Linked DNA regions of Styela clava. The protein of the gene in region 1 purifies or fractionates together with the protein of each later gene. This does not show direct contact. Links are inferred from orthologs where the notes say so. Each region holds a gene or a part of one and is shown on either strand. Other genes may lie near its edges. The genes, in order: nuclear pore complex protein Nup133-like and nucleoporin Nup37-like.

Region 1 (7,647 bases):
TACATTGCCACTAGTTATAAAAGTATCTATATTCAAATCATTGGTCAGCTCCACATAGCAAATTCAGAATATCATTAAACCTGACACTATCATAACCCATTTTCTATAATACAGAATACCGTAATGTATGAGTTTTGATAAATAGTAGTAAAGTATATGAACCAAAATTACTCACCCGTACTGAAGCTAATCTAATGCATTCTTCATCGGAAGAATTAGCACCAATGCCATCTAAATTTCCTTCAAGAGTAGACGATACATTTTGAATTATATTTGGCCAGAATCTGACTCCCCCTGCGGGAGTAACCACAAGCAAACTGACAATTCCTTCATCTGGTGAATCGGTGGCTTTCCCAACATAAATTAAACTGGACTTATGCTCGCCATCAGAAGAACTCAGAGGTGGCAATGCAAATTCTTTGCAGAGAGCATTCTGTAAAAACAGAATTTACTCTGAATTTCAACACCAACAGAACATACAAGATAGCGATCAGAGACCGCCGACTTATCGATCTAGCGGCGTGTATTCTTCGCTCTGACTCAATAGCGACAACGAGTGTCCCATCACTAATCAATTATTAACTCGCTAATTATACGACATAATTCATCCAAAATCAATAGGCTTTTGGTGAGATATGATGAATGCATATGCAAAATTTGGAGCAGATTCAACCTCGTTTATCGTGAGATATCGCGTAACTTCGATCAATATCGATGAGATCGTTGTATAATACCACTTTCAATAATTACATATCGAGGGTTTCAAGACAGAAGGGCGAACATTGAAATTCAGAAAAAATTATACTCTACAAAATTACAAACAAATAGATTATTTTCAAGCCGGTGTCTAATCAAAAGTTTGAAGTAATACTTGCCAAAAATATAAATTTGAAACTTGAACACAAAAAATTGTGTTTTAGATTTAGAAAAGTCAAAAAATATTAGTTATCAACTCTAGTTCAAAAAAACAAAGACCAAATCCCGTGAAGAATGTCTACATTAAACACAACTGAATAATATTTCAGTATATAACATAAACTGTGCATAAAATAAAACATGAAATACCTTTGAAACTCCTTGTTTAAATCTCCATACAAAAAGTTTTCTGCCACAAACCAACCAAGCCCATCCATTGTCATTTATTTCAACTGTTATTCGCTCTGATTCTGAAAAAATAATTCAATATTTTTAACACTATTTTTATCATATTTCATGAGTGTGATGTGGCAATTTAGAAATGGCTCTTCCATATTTCTTACACAATTCTCACACAATATCATTTCACATTACAATTTTAGAACAATGTAGAAAATCAGTAAACAACTTGTTTGCAAATATTTAAATAACATGATATAATCATCTTGTATATATACAAGCCAATGCATTCTATTCATTGAATGTATGGAACACCTCGAATTCAAAAAAATTTTCCTCAACCCTTGCCACAAAACAAGTAATACTTGGTCAATAATACTTGTTACTTATCGATCCCGATCGGTAAGTATGTTGATAGGTATTTTTCTGTCTGTTTAAGTGTTAGACACATTTTCCTATGCTATGTGATATCTCACGAAAGCGAGGTTGAATCTGCATACATCAAATCTCGGACCAGACGCCTATTGATTTTGGATGAATTATGTCGTATAATTAGCGAGTTATTAATTAATTAGTGATGGAACATGCGATGTCGCTATCGAGTCAGAGCGAAGGATACACGCCGCTAAATCGATAAGTCGGCGTTTCCGATCGCTATCTCGATTTCAATATAAATAGTAATTCATTCTGTAATTCAACATTATGTTAAAGCGGGTGTAAAAAAAAATAAAACGATCGGCCTAACTAGTAATTTAAACTAGTAATTTTTTAATAATACACATTTTCTACAAAAAAAATGATTATATACTTTGTCAGTCTCCACTTTAATTGTAAATAAAAGTAAATGTATTTCATTCATCAATAACCTGAATAGTTACTAGAAAAAAGTTAAAACTAAAAGACTTCTAGTTACAAGTTTAAACATCTTACTATCTGCAAGGGTGATGGCTTCATTGACAAGAACAGGCAAAGATGATCCAGCAGTTTCAACTGTATAATTTGTCGTATTGTAAACAGTAGAAACAGAAGGTGATCCAAGTATCGAACTCTCAGCTGGAGATGACCTGAAATTTGAAGTTTCACCAAGTTCAGAATTTGTAAATTGTTTATAGTTGTTACATTGCAATGATATTACTATGCATCTGTACTTTGTAAGATACATTGTTTAGAACTGGAAGATGTCCATTATTTATTAGTTCATTATTTTAGAACTGATGTGAAATACAGATTATTTTTATTTTCATTATAAACAACATACATGAAAATTATACACAAAAGTTTGAAAATAATGAACACACCAAAGATTGGGAACATTTTGAAAACTGGCAAAACATTTCAAAAGGTTTAACACGTGAAAACACAGAAATACATGTGCCAGTTTACCCTGTTACCCTTAAGTATTACATAACATTAAAACTTACTGAAAAATAATGGCTCATATTACAGTATTAGATACAAAAAATTAAATTAAACAACAAAGTTTCAAATACTCTATTGCTGGTTGAGAGATGACCAATTTTTTAATGAGCAAAAATATTAAAATATATGGCCAAGTCCACCGAATTAATTATAAATTGCCACCAATTCAGCAATTGCAGAATTGGATGAATGAAACATTATAAATGTAAAATTAAAAGGATTATATATAGCCTATATATATGTGTGTGAAGTACTTCCTACCTTGGATATAAACCAGACCTCCTGACAAGAGATGATTTCGATCCAGTCAGTTGAGAACGCCTTGGGGTCAATGTGAATGGAGCGGCTGAGCGTCTTCGCGAGGACCCAGCTGAACCAGGTGTATGCGTACGGCTAGGGGTAAACATTGTAGTCCACAGGGATATTCAAGTATTGAGATAGCTGATGCTAAAGTCCTGTAGTCGGAGGTAGCTGGCGAAACTCGAATACAGGAATAAGATACCGGTACAGTATCTCGGCATCACAACAATAGCTCAGACCTTTGAATTCAATCCCGCGCGGCGAGCCAGACAGTTGTGACGGCATATCCAAAATAGTTTGCGCATTAGCGCCGGATATATAACCGGCAAAGTTGAGCCGGCACATCTTTTTGCTTGAAGAACGGCTATCTACTTAGACTACAAATGTATTACTTTTTAAATCAATGTTTTTCATAAAATCCGCGCCTGCTTAAAAATCTGAATTAGGGGTCTCCGAGGTAACTAATGAGAAAATTCATTTTCTCATACGCTAACACCAAGAATGAGAATGAGAAAGAGCATTCTGACTATAAAAATTTCATACAGAACCCTAAATATTCTCAAATTTTGTATAAATCTATATGTATTTGTGTGTGAAATCCTATGGACCTTTCCCCGAGCATCGACTTCCTTGTTTATTTCGTGACATTGGCCAATCATGCTCCCTTTTCGCATCCGATCAGACACTTTTCCCACAGATTTTTAGGCGTGGTCGCGAACATTACCTTGTTTTCGCGTTTTTGAACTCTATTCGTTAGTTTTCAGTTGTGTTTCGGAAATTTAAATATAAATCAGATAATTCAATGATCACTCTGTCTTCTAAGGAGTTTTAACTTGATTGCAGTATTAAAAAATTAATGTATAAATAGCTGTGACATACTAGGCTAAAATTTTTTATCGGTACTTTTAAAAAACAGTTGAGTATAGGGAAATCGGGGGTTTAAGGTTGGGGAGTGGTCCATATTAATATTTTAAACAACTTGCAAGGCGACTCAAAATCAAACTCACAACCGCATAATGTCACCTATTAGGCGGTAACATTTGGTCTAAATAGCTCGTCGAAAAGTCTGTATATCGCACTTGTTCATTCATCTAAAATGATTATTCATGCACACACATAGGCTACCACAGAGACGTGATTAAATTTTAAAAAGATAATATATTAATTTTTAGGCGGAAGAAAATATCACAAGGACCCAGCTGGCCACCACAGAGACGTGATTAAATTTTAAAAAGATAATATATTAATTTTTAGGCGGAAGAAAATATCACAAGAAAAATTCTTGCCTCACCTAATTACAAATTTTGCGACGATTGCCAAACTGGATACCGTTACCTGATTTGTTTCATTCTGTGAAAAATAGCCCATTAATTAAGTCCCCGGTTCTACAATAACAAGTTTATACAATACACATGCCATTTCGTGGAACTAACGACTAACTAACGTGGAACAGATCCAAGAGAACATGCTGGTAACGTACTTACACTCGGCGTTTGAGCATGGTCATTATGGTTAGAACGCATGGTTACTTTCACCGATCAGTTGTTCTTTACATGGTTGCGTATTTCGAGTTTATTTTTTCTTATAGAATTGTTTCTTTGCAATATTTGCTGCTTGAATTCTGCAACGCACGATGACATTCTGAGTCTTTTGCGCCATGCATCATTAACTGCTATGAGTCAATGTTTTTTTGATTTTGTTAGGTTTACTTTATCATATGTGGTTATTGCTTTACATTGATTCTTGCACAATGAAAATAAATATCTAAACCTGGTCAGTTACGAACTTGCTCACGAATTATCTAGCCACTGGGAATCCGTGACTTCAAAAATCTTTCCCTCGGGTTTTTATGGTTCACTTTGTTCCTGTATATCTGATCTTACAAATCCAATAGCAAGCATGCATTACTAATTTTAATATCCATTCCCAATGAAAGGATTTTGTTACCGACCGATGCAAGCCTTTTCAATAAAAATATCATTTTTGATGTACATTGATTTAATGTTTTTCGCTTTGTGAAAACCAGCATGTTTCTTCCATAATTTTGACAAGAACTTTGGATACATTGGTCCAAGCCTATTCCTTTTTCAAGGTATTACGAAATGTTTACGCACAAGCAACCTCTTGTGCACTCGAGTCAGATAGCTCAATACCCCTGCAGTGTTTGGCAAACTGTGAGTCGCAGAGCATTTTCTAGTGGGCCTCCAATAAATTCAATCCAATCAATATTTACCGCTCGTTCTATCAGTAGATTGTATACACTTCTAATTCAACTCATTTCTAATTGGGAAAGTCAACATTGGGCAATAACTTCAGACTGTACACATATCTATCGAGCAAAAATATATAAAGTAGGCTACTATATATTTAAGTACATTTTATTGGGAAAAGCAATGCATTCAGAGGTATAAATAGCTATGATAGATATACTGTGAACAGACTATTCAGAAATACAGAATATATTCATCAGGTTCATGATCATGTTTTCATAATTATATCAATCAGTGTTTACAAAAGATATTCAATCTTGACAATGAACTGTGACTGTGTCTTTAGTAATCAAATCTTCATCATCAGTTGGACTTGGTGGGAAGTATCCATGAGGATATTTATCAATATCTAAAAGTGAAACAAAATGATCAATTAAATGGAAATATAATCAAGACTACCCCTTTTTTACTCACTCCACACTGAGCTGATAATGAATTGCTGTACTCAATATATTCTAAAAATAGTTTATATATTTGAAACTGCCGAACAGGCGACTGTAATTGCCTGCCACTTTTTTATCCTTTTCTATAACATCATTATAAAGTCATAGTCAATTAATCATGAGTTGAAATGAAAACTATACAACTTGAGGTGCCTAAAGTTTAGGTCTTGGATTATATCAACAAGTATATCGACGGCAGATATGAAATTGACACTGTCACGCTTGAGTATATCATAACCTGTGACAAACAATAACAAAATAGAAAATTTAATTATCGGAAGCAAAGATAGATTTTATAGAAAATGTGTATGTCATGAAGCGATATGTTATTTTTATGTACCACTTCTATTTGAACTAAATAACAAAAATAGTGTATGGACACATACAAAGAACATTTTCAAATCATCAAACAACTCAACCCTGAAAACTTTCACTTAAAGTCAACAATTTCCATAGCTTACCATCTGAGTGAAGTGGGCATCCATCTATTTCTAATTTGAAGCATATAGTTTCAGCATTGCCTTCAATTGCAATTCCATGATATACAATCGATATATTAATGAACTGAGTCATTATTGGAATTTCAAGTGGGTGAAAAAGCCTCAACTGCAAAATATAATTCATTTATTTAAAATGCTTAATAAAAGAGAAAATATTAACTTATATGTACCAATTGTGTTTTCATAAAAGTCATTTGGTAGAGTATTCTAGAAAATGCAAGTGATTGTATTTCAAATACCTACTCTGGTATTAAGTAGCTGAAAGTAAGTGATATGTAAATCTACAAGCAATATATATAACATACTTGGCTAATTTCAAAAGATATTCCAAATAAGTTTTCTTCATCAATCCCATAAACGATATTAGCTACTGAAAAAGAGCTATTTATATCTGTAGAATTGGTGAATCCATTCATTGTACCGAGTAGACCGATGAGATAGACTTTTGCAAGAACTGTCAGGTCAATGTTGATATGCTTCAAAAAAACAAAATGATATTGAGTTTATATTTTTACTCGTAACATTATACACACATGTACTTGCACGTGGATACTTAGTGCTAGGGTCTTGAATAGATTGTTAGCGAACAATCAAATAGTTGATATCACAATGTCCAATCTTATTATTATCAGCCTAATTTGGTTGTGAGTAATTAATTTGGATACCCTGGCCATTGAATGGTACAGCAAGCCTTAATCAATATCAATTGCATAAGCCATCATGCTATCATCGAAAGTTCTGTTCTATTTATGCACATCACTGCAAACCCATACAAGACATTTAGTAGTAGAATTCAAATTGTTTTTTCAACTCTACAAGATATCCTGAACTGTAACTGAACGAATTTAACAAAAACTAGAAAAGGTAATAAATTTTATAACAAAAATATATTATAAAAAATGCTTGAAAAAGTTATAATTAGAAAATTGACAAAATAAAATAATACTCCACAAGTGGTGATTCTGAAATGAAAGATGTGAGTTTTGAGTTGTGCAACCTTCAGAATTTAAGATTTTTTTACCTGACTGCAAATGAACTACCGTACTATCTTAAAACATTGACTCTAATATCACATTTTCAAGATACCTGTAAAAAGCTGTCCTTCATGATATTTTATCTATAACATACTCAAATGTATGAACTCAGGAGAAGGTGACTTTATATGAATGATTGGATGGAGTAAAAATGTTAGTGATCGTAAATAACCATAATACAATGAACATGGAAATAAATTAGGTATATCTCACCATGATTCCCCCAGATTGTGATAATCTGAAGCAATAATCTGTATTTTCTTCATTATGAATGGTATTTTGATGATCCTTTGATATATTATGCCTCAAAGAAACGTAGAATGATCCAATTGTTTTTATGATAGGTTGAATACAGTTGTCTAAATAGAATTATGTGAACTATCATATTCAGTTTAGTACTTATTGATCAAAAATAGTTTCTAAATCTAACCTTGCATAATTTTCCTTTCGAAAAAGTCATAAGTTCCAGAGTTTTGCTTCAAAACCACAGATGAAATAGAAAACAGATAATAACACATTGTGCCATTAAAAAGAACATATCTGTAATTCCATTTTAACATAAAAAGCTTGATATTAATGAATTACA
Region 2 (7,713 bases), about 2.2 Mb from region 1:
CTATGGAAAGTGTCAATCCCGATGAATACCCACAATCGTTACCAACCCCTTTAAGGTCTTACACACACGATAAATATTTGAAAATTGATAGTTTTACCCAATATTTATGCCACCCATCCAAAAAAGCAATCGTATTTTTGCGCGAAGTATAAACTATATTTCGCGCAAATACTAATGCTTTTTATAATATATTTTCGCCTGTTACTTTTCCGACAGATGAGGTTGCTTGAAATATAATTTACCATCTTGCCACAACATCGCTTTTAAAATTTTGAAACGTTTTCTCAGTTTAAGGTTAAATATTCACGCAAAAGAGGAGACAAATAAAATTATTGAAAAACGGTATGCTCGTGGACCTGCGGCAAGAGCTCAAATAAAATAGATAATTTGATATTTTATACACTCCAGATTATTAGATGTTCTTGTAAACTTGATATACGCCGTTATCCTTCATTCCATGCATGTAGTATATTTTTTTAATATTATTTTGGCAATGTACACCTTGTTGAAAATTTGCGATACGCATATTTTAATATCATGACATGTACCGCAAAAATAGTGCAAGATTCTGCAGTATAATTTGTATTGTGGTTCTGTCACTTTGTTAAAATAGATTCTGTGCAAGTAGCGATACTTACATCGGGAATTTTATAATAATTTAATACTAAAATGTGTATCATTTTATTTAATATTTTGGTTCTATTGAGTTGTTGATTTAGTTGGATGACTTTAAACATCTGCGGGTAATTAATTTTTCAGAAGAATGTTCATTCGTTTTGCCATTGCGAAAGTTTGTTCCGAATTATTGAGCATCGTTTTTTTTTAATCAGCTGTTTAACGATCGCAGGTTTAAATCACTTAGTTAGGATCAACGACTAACATACCATGATGCGCAACTAAAGCCTTGACCAATGAGGAGTGTCTGACGCGATACGCTCCATTGCGGCAACTTGATTCGTTAACGCCCACTCGAGTTCCCAGCGTTTTGCTGCAGTTTCACCATATCTGTTGGTCGCATCGGACTCAAGGTATTATATAATCAGTGGCTATTATGGCTAATAAAGGTAAGCCTACCATTTCTATACGTTAAATATATACTATCAGTATGTTTCCATTAGCGGGTGACTATTCAGGGAGCAGTTATCATGTGCTGAGATATGACAGACAGAGCTGCCGAGTTTAAATCCCTGAATCAGATTATGAATTTGATGATATATTCAGACATTACCTGTCTGCCTGTACCGTACTAGATTCATTCATGTTAGAGGATCATAAACTGACATGTATTCATAGATCTTGATGAGTCAATGGAAGAAAAGTTTACCTTGCTGCCTTGAGTGAGCAAAAGTAAGACAGCTATTGAAAAGAGAGTTACAGACAGACAGAGGGCAAAAAGTGTTAGGAGAGATTAATGCAAGACCCCAACAGATCATGCATTCAATTATCTTACCATCAATATATTTTCTGGATTTTATTCTACATACCTAAATGTGATATTTTCATGACAATATTTTTGCTAATAAACAACCTATTCTGAGATTTATAAAAAATAACCTATGTTTTATTTCAAGGTGCTCGACGTGTCAAAAGTTATTATTTTCCAGCGTGGCATCTTTGGCTCAACATATTCACAAACAAGGTAAGATTTACATAATTATAGACCCCTACATAAATTCCATGATTACTAATACAACTTCCACAACTCAAGATAAACATGAAGTGCAGATTTTTTTAAACACCATGGGATGAATCTGTCAAAATAATTTTGAATTTTTTTTATTTTTAGGCAGAGATATTAGTGTGGGGAAGATCATTGCAGCCACTGTCCCTATTTTACCAAATGTGGTCAAATACTTGCAATTGTTGCTGAAGGAAAGTCCTGAGTGATCAAATGTTATCTTTCAGCTGTGATGCAGTTAGCGTTATTCCTCACATTGGAACAGAGTATTCCAGGTTTACTATACCCTCCAGTCTGTCGGGTAATTATTTGATAGATTCACAGCCAAAGAAATGGATAAAACGAAAGGTGTGGTGCTTAATATTTGTCTGGATTTGAGTATGTTTAGATACCATAATTTACGGACAATATGACTAACTGGCAAAAATTGCTTAATTGGGTTTTTATTCATACATAAGGATATAAAACGCAACTGTTTTCTAAGCAATATTGGTTTTGAATGTAGGCAATAAAGCACTACCTGATTCATACATTGTGCGCACTAGCTTAACAGGCGCTTGATCGAATTTAATTTCAAGTATTGACCGTGTTTGATTGACATTCATGGTAATCAATATTGCGATATCCTACTATTACACACCTGTTCCCTATGTTTTCCAGATTTACTGAATTCAAGTTCTATCATATTGAATGACGATGAGGTCCATATAATCCAATACATTGCTGGGTTCATTCTACTAGGAAAGCAAAAACGATGCTAAGACCCCGAAGACTGCAAAAGAATTCAGTCATTATTTTCTCCCGAACCGGACTGTTTGATAACTGACTCTATGATTGCAGTAATGCAGAATATGGACGCTTAACCGTGCCATTGCCCAGTGTCCAAGCTGCTCGAAATTGAATTTAGATTAAACTATGCTCATGAAGATGTTACAGCCACAGTTTTTGAAAATTTTAATATAGAATCATTTGGTATCGCCCAAAACGATACTAGCATGCTGGACATCTTAGAAAAATAAGGTGCCATCAAACAGAATTTATCCCTACGAAAACTACTAAAAAATAAATGTAGATGAAGAGCATGATCTCTTTTCACTTTATTTTGCAAGGTAGTGCGTTTAGATGTCATTCCAGTTTTATTACTTTAGCAGTAATTAAACAAACAATCTATTTTTCATAACAAAATTTTCATTGCAATATAGTATATTTTCATGGCAATAGGCAATGTAAGTTGCATAATAAAAATACGGAATATCTAGAACTCTTTTGTCTCTGCGACAGATGATTTCCAGTTGCGTATTCCTGGAATGAAAATTATTTTCAAGCTAAATCAGTCACTCATCAATGCTATGGAATGGTCGGAGCATTTTTTAGGCGCTCCCGTAGTATGTGTACCAAGATAGCGCACAACCTGATAACCCCAACTTGGTACACATATTACGGGAGCACCCTTTTTTATATCCAAAATTTGGCCAAGTATTCATAATATCAAACCATGCTGACCAAGAGTTCTGGCCCACCTCTCTGCTGCATCAATCTTGCAGCAGTCTTAGATAGCACCTGGGCTGCATATTTGACACACACTTTTGGGTAGCTTTGTAAGCACAAGTGGGATTCCGTCAATTTGCAGGAGTGGAACTCTTTGGATGAAAAAGATGGTACTGCACGAAAATGGTCATCTTTTTTCAATAGGCGAATTCCACCAGCGTGACTCGCAAACACATTATTGCTTACTGTTTTGAGTAAATGAAATGATCAGAACCATTGATACATGTATATGGGAAAGTTAACCTCAAATTATTTAACTCATGGAACATTTTACGGTTTGCACTAAGTCCATCTGTAATAAGCCCCAATCCCACTTCTCCAACACTTTCCCAGAAAATGCTAGCGAGATGGTCTGAGCGGATAACGTCAAGGACTTTGAAAATTACGCAATCAAATCATGTGCATAAACTTGCAGTGCACACGCGCTCACCTTAGAGGGAACACTGCTGCCCATATAAATTTTTCACCGGAACAAACCCGCTTGGATGATGGCAAAAACAGGGTGCAAGATCCACTGACACTATCGCATTGTGGAATGCAACATCAATTACTCTTGTTGATGAGTGATTGTGAATAAATAGCCTATAGCACTATAATACAAATTATGCAATTCTAAAAAAGTAATACAAAAACGTAAAGAAAAAATAAAACGGTTTGACTTTGGAAAAAGAAATTGGTGTTTGGTAAATCTGTGAATACTCTCAGACTATAGTGCTGGTATGTTAGTCGTAAGTAATAATAGTAGAATTATATCTTCTAGAATGGAGGGTGTGTAACTATAAAGATCGTAACCCAGTACCGGACTCACAGAACATAAGAAATAAAGTAGCCTAGGCCCTAGGTTACAATAATCGGGTAGAATATTGCAGTACTGGGGTGGTTCATAGAACGCCAAGTTACCATACCGTACCTGCGTTGTCTTGAGGGGGAAATACTAGTTGAAGCCGAATCTAATCTATCTTGAAATAAACTAAAGAGACCGAGCTTAAGATGGACAACCGGCATTTAATTAAAGTATTGAACCAACTTAATGAAATACTATAGGCTGCTGAGCTAAGAATATAGGCGACAGCGAGATATTTTGTGCACATACCACCCTCTTCAATAATCCCCGAGCAAATCAAGTGACCGCAATGGAGCGTGAAGCTGCAGAAACTCCTAACGCGCATAACTTTGTTTGTTTTATTATTGTGGGCGTGGCTTTCCAGACTAGTTTCATCTCCCTGGTTAGGATCATACAGCGATAGAACTCTGGACACAAAATGGCTGGTGTGACGTCACACGAGCGCTTATAACGTTACCAATGCATGTCCTCACTTGGTTTATAGTCACTTTGGGCGGAACAGTACCGCTTTTTAGCGTCTTGTCCCGCCGTCCCGACAAGTCAGCCATAAGTCGCTCTTTTGCGTTCAGCCTTCCAGCGTAATACACGAACATGTTCTCGTTACTGTTGTTTCTGTGTAGCGCAGCGCTAGCCTACTTACTGAAGGTGAATGGCGTTTGTTTCCCGCTGATTCCCATTAATAGCAGACGTATCGCATGTAAAACCAATACTAATTAGTGTTAGGGTTCCCATCAAATTGTTTAAAATTTCAAGGACGCTAATAAATAATGAAAGAAAAATGTTCCCTTTCTTCTGCGCTGTTTTCCTCTCATCTGGGCTGTTTCTCGCTTTATTCAGTAAGTAGTAAGACTGGAATTATACCTGAGCATTAGTGCTACAGTCTGACAGTGCTAGGAATTGACTGGGAATTTTTCGCAAACAAATTTTAATAATAAATAATTTATTAGACTTAAATCATCACTTTAATTCTCATTTATCAATTTTCGAACGTAATGCTATTGTATTGTTATTGTGTACTGCACGGTATAAAATACTGAAATATGGTTGGAGCGCAATGCTGTAATTTTTCAAAATATTGTACCAAATGCTGAAATGTCAATAATGTTATAGTGAAGATAAGAAACTCTCTTTTAGCAAGGAGAAACATGGAAAAATTTAGAAAACAATGTTCTTACACAAACGAACTCGACATGATATGCAATAACTTATGACTTTTCATAACTCTTTTTTTTTCAATCAAAAAATAACTAATTAAAATCAAACTGTGGAATCAACTCGATGAACATGGATTCAATTTTATTATCTTATTTATTATTTAATTATTGAAAATTTCACTTTGTTGGAACCATAAAAAAAAAAATTAATAATTGTTTGGATTAAAGTGGTGGAAATATGATGAGCACTCACACTGTACATAGTCAAGCTGTAGAAGCACCACCATTCATTAATGCTTTGGAGTTTTGTCCTTTCGAACGTGCATCTAACCTTATAGCAATTGCTAGTAAAGATGGTCTCACAATTGAAAGCTGTGAATTTTCTGTAGAGAAAGAAGCTAATGGTGGCTATGCAAAGCAAATATACAAAAATCTTGTTCATAATAATGTTATACTTCATAAGCTGAGAGTATGCGATCTGAATTGTCTTGCCTGGTCCCCTGTTTCAAATATAAAACATTTGCCAAACCTAATTGTGATTGCTACTGGAACTAAAACTGGAGTGATCAATGTATATACAGCAGATCTGAAGGAAGAAGCTGTGGAAAATTCACTTGAAGGCCATACTGATTGTGTAAATCATATCTCATTTGAGCCAATAGAAGGTCAGGAGCTAGCTTCTGTGAGTGACGATTACTCTTGCAAAGTTTGGGATGTCGATAGTGGTGATGTTATTGTGTCTTTCCCACTTCAGTATCCCGGTGTGAGCGTATGTTGGCACCCTGACCAATCAGGCAAATTGATGGCGGCGGAACTAGGAGGTCGAATAAGATTTTACAATGTACATTTGAAACAGGCAATACTCGCTATTGACTGCAAAAAACACAGCTTAACTTCTGCAGACTGGTGCTGGTTGAATCACAGTAAAGTTGGAGCTAGTGCAGAAATGGAATGGTTTCTTTGGGATATTACAAAATCCTCATATCCACTTGATTCACAGCAAGCTAATTCTGGAGGTTGCAGAAAATTACTCTGGTCTAAACACCACGAAGATGTTTTTCTTACACTTGGTCAACCTCAAAACACTGTAAAAATTTACCATCTAGGTCATCGTCAACCCATTCTTCACAAAGTTCATGAAACAAGCATGTGTGCATCATGGCACAGCACTTTACCTATATGTGCAATAGCTGGAAATAAAGCTATTCATTTCTATGACACGAAAAGTTGTACACAGTTTTGAATATTGTTTAAGGCCCACAAAATTTATATATCTTAGACACTGCCAATTAGTATGTTTCTTATGCTTGTGAGATTGCAAACAAATGTATGTACCAGCGTAATATATTTTCTGGTTTTTGTCATGCAATTATTTTCAACAATTTTGAATTGACTTTATTTTCAACAAAATCATGATTTAAATTTAAAAAAAAAAATTCAAAAATCTTGATTTTCAATACAGATAATTTCTCATTATCTAGAAATCCATCATTATTTTTAATTAGGGTTGAATTAATTCATTGCAGCACATCACTTGATTACTTTTCGATACTTTGTTTTCTATCTCTAGTTCCAGATGTCATTTAGAGTATTAAGATTGGATTCTCTCAAATATTATTTGAAAAAGCGTCTCCGAATCTTTTCTTTAATCATGAATAATGGTGAAACATTCAATCAAAGTGACCAGAATATATTCACACCACCATCTGGTGTGAGAGGAATGGTTGAATTAGACAGGTATGAGATATTGAATGTCTTGTAATGCGTTTTCAAATGTTTCGTAAAAAAACAGAACTACTTAAACTGGCATGTTCATTTGCTATTACTTTGAATGATGGAGATTGTGGACTAAATAACCCCAAGTATATTTTTATCCTTTTGCAATTCATTTATTTATTCTGGAAGCTCTCCTTACATTTTTAATGAATTTTCCGCCATAACAGGTCCGCATTTAAAAAGGAAGTAGATGTCAACACGATACTAGTACCTTTTTCTTCACTCAATAAGTTCCAGAAGAAATTTAAAGAAGACATTCTTAAGAGGAGAGGAGCAAATTTATTGTCTGCAGAAAATTGTGAAGCTCAAAAAAATGCTAAATTTGTTGTAATGAAACAAGACTTCAATTTCAAATCTCTTCCAGAATTCAAACAACAACTTTTAAACGATTTACAAATTGAATCAAGATTTTACACTAACAAGTTGGAAATAAGGTTATTATATCTTTGAGCAATGATATTTTGTTATAACTTCTTATCTAATAAACAATAAGTTTACTCAAGCGTTATACTGTGCTAGACCATCTAGACCATTGATTTATTTTGGCGTGTGGTATTTAATTTTGTTATCAATTGCTATAAATAATATTAAGTTATTTGATCTTATTTAAAATCATATTCAAAAGTCTTAAATCTCTGTGTAAACGGATCTCATTTATTAAATCAAGAACCTTCTTTGTATTTCGAATATCACACAATTTCAATATTAATGAT

The links.
Region 2: the proteins of nuclear pore complex protein Nup133-like (region 1) and nucleoporin Nup37-like purify together in Homo sapiens (affinity purification with mass spectrometry; 4 studies listed by BioGRID and IntAct, with this or other methods). This does not show direct contact. The link is inferred for Styela clava from reciprocal best matches to the Homo sapiens genes NUP133 and NUP37.

Annotation. Positions count from the first base shown.
Region 1 is NC_135253.1:7,608,843-7,616,489, reverse strand, and holds the start of nuclear pore complex protein Nup133-like, read right to left. Parts: upstream 3,119-7,647; 5' UTR 2,922-3,118; coding exon 2,776-2,921; intron 2,160-2,775; coding exon 2,026-2,159; intron 1,167-2,025; coding exon 1,066-1,166; intron 434-1,065; coding exon 176-433; intron 1-175. Other genes in the region: uncharacterized protein LOC144421998, read right to left, coding at 5,336-5,433, 5,989-6,133, 6,333-6,503, 7,275-7,420, 7,492-7,601. UniProt on the Homo sapiens protein: Involved in poly(A)+ RNA transport. Involved in nephrogenesis.
Region 2 is NC_135253.1:5,429,007-5,436,719, reverse strand, and holds nucleoporin Nup37-like, read left to right. Parts: upstream 1-4,589; 5' UTR 4,590-5,462; coding exon 5,463-6,467; 3' UTR 6,468-6,794; downstream 6,795-7,713. Other genes in the region: tRNA (guanine(37)-N(1))-methyltransferase-like, read left to right, coding at 6,801-6,961, 7,168-7,434. UniProt on the Homo sapiens protein: Component of the Nup107-160 subcomplex of the nuclear pore complex (NPC). The Nup107-160 subcomplex is required for the assembly of a functional NPC.